Tamandua tetradactyla: one gene and its partner. The protein of the gene in region 2 purifies or fractionates together with the protein of the main gene of each other region. This does not show direct contact. Links are inferred from orthologs where the notes say so. Each region holds a gene or a part of one and is shown on either strand. Other genes may lie near its edges.

The links.
Region 1: the proteins of ZCCHC10 (region 2) and NEURL4 purify together in Homo sapiens (co-immunoprecipitation; 3 studies listed by BioGRID and IntAct, with this or other methods). This does not show direct contact. The link is inferred for Tamandua tetradactyla from reciprocal best matches to the Homo sapiens genes ZCCHC10 and NEURL4.

What each region holds. Positions count from the first base shown.
Region 1 is NC_135332.1:61,193,325-61,197,233, forward strand, and holds the start of NEURL4 (neuralized-like protein 4), read right to left. Parts: upstream 2,540-3,909; 5' UTR 2,531-2,539; coding exon of another isoform or gene 2,034-2,530; 5' UTR 894-2,033; coding exon 612-893; intron 1-611. Other genes in the region: uncharacterized protein LOC143688138, read left to right, coding at 2,034-2,530, 2,881-2,988, 3,116-3,202, 3,428-3,516, 3,614-3,865. UniProt on the Homo sapiens protein: Promotes CCP110 ubiquitination and proteasome-dependent degradation. By counteracting accumulation of CP110, maintains normal centriolar homeostasis and preventing formation of ectopic microtubular organizing centers.
Region 2 is NC_135346.1:11,886,203-11,890,111, forward strand, and holds the start of ZCCHC10 (zinc finger CCHC domain-containing protein 10), read right to left. Parts: upstream 2,436-3,909; 5' UTR 2,372-2,435; coding exon 2,331-2,371; intron 1-2,330.

The DNA of each region.
Region 1 (3,909 bases), on a different chromosome or scaffold from region 2:
TCTACCACACTGTCCCTTCACCTACCTTGCTGGCTAAATTTCCTGGCTCCAGCTCCTGTTTCTTCTAACTTCCCTGGTCTCTGAGGCCCCTCAACCACCCAAATTGTTCACATACCCCTTGATATCATATAGTACTCTATCCTCTGGCCCAATTCTCTCCAAGACTCTAGATCTACCCAGGTTCACGCTCCTCCCAAATTTATCTCTGTGAGCCTGGCCTTTTCACTAAATGACACACACACACCTCCCTCTTCCTGAGCATTTTACTCACGCAGCTTTCTGGCCTTGTCCCTGGGTTTGCCTTAATTGATTTTTTTCCCCTTTCTATCTCTCTTCTCTTGCCATCACACTCTGGCATCTCTCACCCTCCATTTCCAAGAAATTGGATCTGCTCTCCAGCTATTCTAACATCCCTTCCCTACTTCTGGATCTCTTTTCTCCTGCAGACTGCATGCTTCTGCTTCAAGGTCCTTTTCTATCATCTGGTGACAGACGGGCGATTCCCCCCCTCTACCCTGGGATGTGGACTCTTCTGGGCTGTCCTACCCCGTCTCCCTGTGGTCCCCTCCCACCACCCTCTGCATCTCGGTTCCGCGACAGCGGCTCCGCACCTTTCGGTCGATGCGGACAGTGAAGACGTGTCCATCGCGCAAAGGTTCCCGGCTCAACACGAGCCCGTGGTTAAACTCCTGGCCCGGCTGCTGCCGCCGCGCTGTACGCCCACAGGCCGAAAGGCTCACCAAGCGCCCGGTGCGCGGGTGCAGCTCCCCACCGCTGCCGAGACCCGCGCCGGACCCCGATCCCGGGCCGCTCTCGCTGGGCCCCCCGCCCCCGCCCCCGCTCGGCCCTGGACCTCCCCCAGAGCCCCCACTCCCACCGGACCCCGCCGCCATCGCCGCTGACACCGGGGCCGCGCGACAGCCGCGCTTGGCGGCACCGTGGCAACCGCGAGGGACAGGCACCCTGAGGAAATAGGAACGTGGGCGGGGACCAGAAATGCTTTACGGCACCCCCAGGCAATGAGGCTTCCCGGGCTAAGGACCTGACTACCACGATAGGAACAGAAGGACGTCGGGGTCGGGTTGTTTGCTTTACGGCACGGTGAGGTAACGGAGTGGCTCTTGAGACAGGCGAACACTTGGGCAGGGAGCTTTTGCGACAGTGGAAAGAGGAAACGACTGCCCCAGGCAACCTTACGACAGAGGGGTGCTGGCGCCTCAACGCTCGCAGTTTTGCGGCAGCGGCCCGGACGATCCCGCCCTCCATAGAAGGAAGGATGTATTCGCTTTACGGCAAGAGGAGGAGGTTTTTCCGTTTCGCTCTTCAAAGCGATTTGAGCCACGGTTGGATGGCCCGGCGAAGAGAACCGGCAGTTTTGTAAGTGAAAGTCGGCCCTCCGCACCACCGATACCGGAAATGTCTTGCGACAGTAGCGCCACACTTCTCGTGAGAGACAGAGGGAGCCGATTTTGGGGGAGAAAGGAAAAAAAAGCTGCGGAGGTTTCCATTCAAGCCCTGCTTGAGCCCCAATTTAACCAAACTCTTCGATTTTAAAGCTACGAATAAAGAGTCCAAAGAAACTATGGCAGTTTCGAGCAACGGCGTGAACAGTCCTAAAAGATCCCCCAGGCATGTTAAGTCCCAGCTCAACTCTCCCACGCTCGCGTTAATGATGGAGGGCTGTGACGTCACAATCCACGCTTCTCGGCCCACACCCCCACACCCCAGGACCCTGGTTATGATTGGCCGATTCAGAGGAGGGCCGTGATGGGAGAGAAGGGCGGGAACAAATCCTGGAGACAAAGAAAGAAGATCTTTGGGTGGGACCAAAAGGGAGGGGCGAGTAGGGGGACTTGTAGCCTGACGTCCTTATACCCGGTCTCCCGCCCACCGCAGCAGTGAGACAACCCTAGCCGCTGCCCAACCGCCCCCGCCCCACCCCGTTATGGGGCGGGGCCTCGGGGGCGGGGCCATGTGGGGGAGGGAGGCAAGGCGGGGCCGGGTGGATAACAGTGGCCCCCGGAGGTGGGGCCATGCCGAAGGAGACTCTGGGGGCCGCTGGCGGCCTCAAAGGGGAATCTCCCGGAGGAACAACCCAGGAGGTTCCCGGAGGAATCAGAAGGGCCGAGGCAGGCGCCGGGCTGTCCTCGGGAACAGTCCTGTTTCACGGCTCTGCGCCTTCCCAGCACTCCGGGAGTGTCGTAACTCATAGTCCTGGTACCAGCCAGCCCTCTGGGGGAGTCGCGGTCCTCGGCTCGGGACCCAGCCAGCCCCCTGGAGAGGTTGCGGGTCATGGCCCTGGGTCTGTCATATACCCTGCCGTAATCAACACCCACTGCCCTGGAACCAGCTTAACCCGGGCGTCTAGCCCCTGGTCCGGGGGGTCTGAAGAGTACATAGAGGGGTGTAGTCCGCACTCCGGGCCAATTTGCTCTCCCTCCCGCAACACAATAACACGTGAAGACCGGCCCCGGAGCATCCTCAAAAACAACAGCTGTGTCTTGATGCAGAAATGCCCCAATGTGGAAAAGTAAGGGGCCCAGCCCTGCGGGAGAGCGGCCGAGAGCTCCGGGGGAGGAGTTCGGGACTCCGGAGAGGGCGGGGCCTGGGGAATGGGAGGAGTCCCGAGAGGAAGAGACATTGGGAGGGAAATTTGAGGTTGGGGCCTTGGGGAAACCCGCAGGGGCCCGATTAACCGTGGATACACAGTACCCAAGTAATCACTACGTCTGACTCCACTCCCAGCCGCTTATATTTCTGTCCATACCGCCCCTGGACCTACAAGGGGGCGCAAAAAAGCTTTCTGAAAGAATGAGGAAGGGCTGTAGGAGAGGATCATTAGAATGTTTCCTCCTCGAACTGCCCCCCCCCGCCCCCCAGGAAAAAGGCCCAGCGCTGGGATGAGATGAATATCTTGGCCACTTACCACCCTGCTGGCAAAGACTACGGACTTATGAAGGTGGACGAGCCCAGCACTCCCTACCACAGGTGCTGAGCCCTCAACTCTACCCCTTCCACCCAGACTCTCCTCACTATGCCAGGGGGTTGGGAAGGGAGGAGAAGGCCAAGAAGCCTCAAGTACTGGTTGCTACTTGGACTCCCCCTCCCTGCATAGCTCCCCTGTCCACAGGCTGCAGGACAGCAACGAGGACCTGGCCACAGGCTCCTCCTACGCAGTGACTCCCCAGGCACTGGCAGAGAGGTGAGAGTCCTGTCAGAGATCATGTGAGGCAGGGGGACCTCCACCCCTTGACTCTGGGGTCTGAGCCAGCTCTACTCTTTGGACCCCAACATGGGTATTGCTACAGTTCTCATCAGGACTGGCCAAGATCCACCTAGGTTGAGGGGCAGCTGGCTCAGCCCCCTCCCCACCTACCCTCTTGTTACTCACTTCCCTTCAGTACCCCCAACTAGTCTTTCTCTTCAGGTTTGCAACAGTGGACAATTTCCACCCCAAGGTCCTCCAGAACCGTGAGAACAGATATTCAGGGTCTCTAGACAACTTTACCAAGACACGTGAGATGAGGGGTGGGGATTAAATGAGAAGGGGAGGCGGAGTCAACCTACCAGAGAACCTGGGAGGGAAAAGCCAAGCTCTCACACTGGCCCACAGACTCCAGTGATTTTGACCAGCACCGCAAGGCACACTATGATGAAGGGAATTTCCTCAGGACTCAGAAAACCTTGCCGTTGGGTAATGACGATCGCTACCACGGGGGTAGTGTCACTGCCAGCAATGGAGGTCGAGGTGTGATGCCAGACCCCGAACCCAAGCCTGTGGAGAGAGGCAGTAAAAGAGGATCAGCCAGAGGAGGCAAAGATGAGACTGGCCTAGAGGCCAGGAGTCACGTTCTAGAAGCCAAAGGTTAGCGATGGGGACTCCAGCGACTCAAGGGGGTTGTAGTGCAG
Region 2 (3,909 bases):
AAATCTATTTACATAATGGCAGATATATTACAATTTATAAGATGGGAAATAATTTCATTCCAATTGATTTAAAGGAGATCGACTGAGATATACTGCATGGGGAGTGCAAATTTAGGCTTGCTTTTTTCCCTTTTATTTCCCTGTTTTCTCTATTAATCCAGATACTTTCTCACTTTTTATAACTAATTTTAAAAGTTTTACACTTGTTATTATGGAAGTGATATATACCCCTTACAGGTATGATTAAACCCTTTTGATGAATATAAAACGAGAAGTAAAAGAGAGGAAAGCTCCTCTCCTGCTTTCCCCACAAACATACACTCCAGACTCCTGGACTCCACTAGTTGTTTTTTTTGGTATGCTGGGGCTCACATGTCATTCTTTTTCTGTGTGAGTTTCTGGTTATTGCAGCACCATTTGTTGAATTTTTTTCTTTTTTTTCTTTGTTTTTTTTTCAGGGATAGATGAACGGGTCTGAATCCCTGAGGAACGTACAGTCTGTATACCATGACATCTTTTATCATATACCACGTTTCCTTCAATAAGACCAGAAGCTCCTAAAAGTAAAGATTTGTTTTTACTTCTGTGTACTCATGTACCAAATACAGGCACACTATAGAAATGGAACATCTGTTTAAACTAACTTCATGATACATACGAAAAAAGTAATAGCAAATTTCTTTAGATGCTAAAAGTCTTATTTTTCACCTCACACTTACAGTAGACATTGATTGTTTTTGCCAATCCAGCATTCACTTACCACCTTTTATCTACCCACCCAGCTCATCAATTTGCTTGATGGTGAGCATCTGAATTGTGCTGGGAGAAGAATGCTATTTAAGTCAATCAGGGCTTCACAATCTCCTACACATGGTTCAGGGTTTGGCATGTAATCCAATCTAGACCAATGAGATGCAAACAACTTGAAGCTGAGAGGGTATAATGAACCCTAGATAATGCAGCCATCTTGAGACCAAAGGAGAGAGTCTATCCAAGTGTGAGGTCACCCAAAAGAGCAAACCTGGGAAAGAGGAAGAAATGAGACCCTGACGACATCACTTAGCACTCCTATTAAGTATTACTATCACCTCATTCTTTACCTCAGAACTAACTTCAAAGCCCTTTACCACCAACTTTACTACACCAGCACCCAATAACCTTATGTTCAAGGAACTCGCTTTAATTGGGCACCTGGGCTGGACTCAGTTGGAGGAGAGAAAAGAACAGGGTTCTGGAAATAAATTTAAACAAATACAAGCATATTTATGCATATATAGTATAGCAGACTATGAGCTATATGAGACTATAGGTGTGCCAACGGTGAAGGCATGAAATGCGGAGAGAGTGAAAAAGTGGCAGACACTGTTCGGGTCTGCAAGTAGGCAGAAGAAAGGCTTCACAAGAAGCGGTAAACCTCTGTAAACTCAGCTTGTGCCACTCTTGCTCATTAGCCCAAATGGCCTTTCATAGTTCTTAAAACTAAATTACTTCCAGCTTCAGATCAACTGTGCCACTGTCTGGTTATTTTTCTCTCAAATCTTTCACAACTGGCTCCTATCTTACCTTTTCAGTCTCACTTTGTACCACCTTTTCAGAGATGACTTTCCAGTTCACCCAACCCGAAGTAGTCTTTTCTCCCTTTCCATCAAAACACTTTTCACCAACTGTGTTTACTAATTTGTTTAGTTTACCAATATTTCCACCACTAGGATGTAAACTTTGTGAAAGCAGGGATTCTGTCTTGAACACCGCCTTTTCTTTATACCCAGATTCTGATAGAGAGCGGTAGGTCCTGAATAAATTAACACTCATGGGAGGACAGAATCTCTGGCAGAAATTGGGGGAAGAGTTGGCGTTGTAAACAGGCTGCTTCCTCTTTGGGAAAGCGTGGGAAAAGCCAGCTAGATTGGAAGCTATTCAGGAGGGTTGAAGGTTTACCAGGTGGGAGTGGACTGTGCGAACAGGGATTCAGGCCTCATCTGGGCGCGCGTGGGGTGGGCGACGGGGTGAGCGGAGGGTGACGGTCAAGACACCACTTAGTGACCAACTGCTAAGCGTTCCCTTAGAGGGAACCAAACACCGCGGCTCTCCTCAACACTGTGTCCAGCACCGCGTACCTTACGTCCTCGGAAATCGCCAGCCCACGGGAACCAAACCAACTGGCCGGAGCTCTCTGGGGGCAGGCGCCCTATACAGAAACGACTACACTCCCCCGCTCCCCACTGGGGATCCAAGTCCGGCCTCCAAACTCAGCGCCCGCTCACCGGCCGGTTGACGCGAGTCTCCCCGCCCCCAGCCCGCCCTGTCGCGGAATTCGGGCCCTCACTTACGCCTGTCTCCGGGCTATGAGCCGATGCATGGGAGTCGCCATCTTAGCGCAGCTCCGGACAGCCGCGCGGGGTCTTGGGAAACTTCTCAGGAGGGGCGGGGCCTTCTGATCCGGCGGCAGGGACCTGGGCGGAGCCAGACGGCAGATTCCAAGTGTAGACAGGGTGGGCGGGGGTCGGTGCGCGGTGCGGAAGCCCCTCTTGCGTGGGTCCTTTGATTTGAGGAAGATAAGTGAGGCCCTCTTCTGGGCCTGAACAGGGTTTTGAGGGATGAGTACACATATATTGGGTAGGTAAGGCAGGGAAGAACATTCTGGAAGGAGTACTCTATTTCTATACAAAGACAAAAAAGAATGAAAGAGTATTCAGTTTTCAGAAAACTGGAAGACCCTGCAGAGTAAAATAGGAAGGAAAGAATTAAACAGGAATGTGAGCATCAAAAAAGAATGACTTTAGCGAACCGTAAAGTGTAAACGTGTTAATTATTTTTATTTTTATGCATTTCACAGGGATGCCAAAAGGATCAGATGAGACTATATGATTTTACCTGGAAAAGGGTTATACAAATATTATTTTGGGATATTTTAGCTGCACCTACGTTTAATGTCAGACTATGGAGAGATTATTCTTTAATTCCAGATTCTTTAAAACATATAAATTTGCATATACATACGTGTTTCTCCGTCTCCCATTAATATTTATTTCAATTAATACTTATTTGAGACCTAAAATGTTGTAAGAGCAGGGACTAGGACACTAAACAAATAAAATCCTTGTACACATGGTGCTTTCGTCAGACAATGAACAAGCCCAAGAAGGCTATTTCCAATGAGCTTATGAATATTCTAAGGATAAATAATTTAGAGTAAGGGGATAAAGAGTGATTAGCTATGGGAATTAGGGAAGGTCTCTGATGATGTGACCTTTGAGCCTATTTTATTAATTAAAAATTGGAATCTTACTACGTTTCTGTTGTTAGGATAGCTTTTTTCATTCCTCAATGATTTATGGGCATCTTTCCCATATCAACAATATAGATCTAATTCACTCTTTTTATGTATTGTATGGATTACATATCTACTGCACAATTTATCCAACCAGTACTCTATTGATGTACAATTGGGTCATTTACCACAATGATAGAATTAATAGATCTTTAAACACTGTTCCCACCCAGACCCAGTTCAGGCAAAGCATGAGCTGGTGCTGCTGTGAGACCGAAAAACATGCCTGGCACAGAAGTAGATACAGATTTATTGGCACTTATGAACAGAAAAGATTCTCCAGTGGCAGCCGGTCCAGAGTGATAGTGCCTGGCTAGGAATAGGAGTGCGGGGGTGGGGGATGGCAATGCGTGTTTGAGTTTAGACAACGACATTCCATATAGTATGAGGACATTAGCGTCTCCCTAGTATAATCTTTAAAGGACGTAGGACCTGATGTTTTACTAAGATTAGTGTTTAAGACTCAGATACAATCTATACCGTTTACGTCTCTGGTTACATGTCTGCCCCCTCTAGGGAGATTGTTTACTTTCTTGACCTTTGCTCTTAGGTAAAGCAGACCAGCTACATGCCTTTTA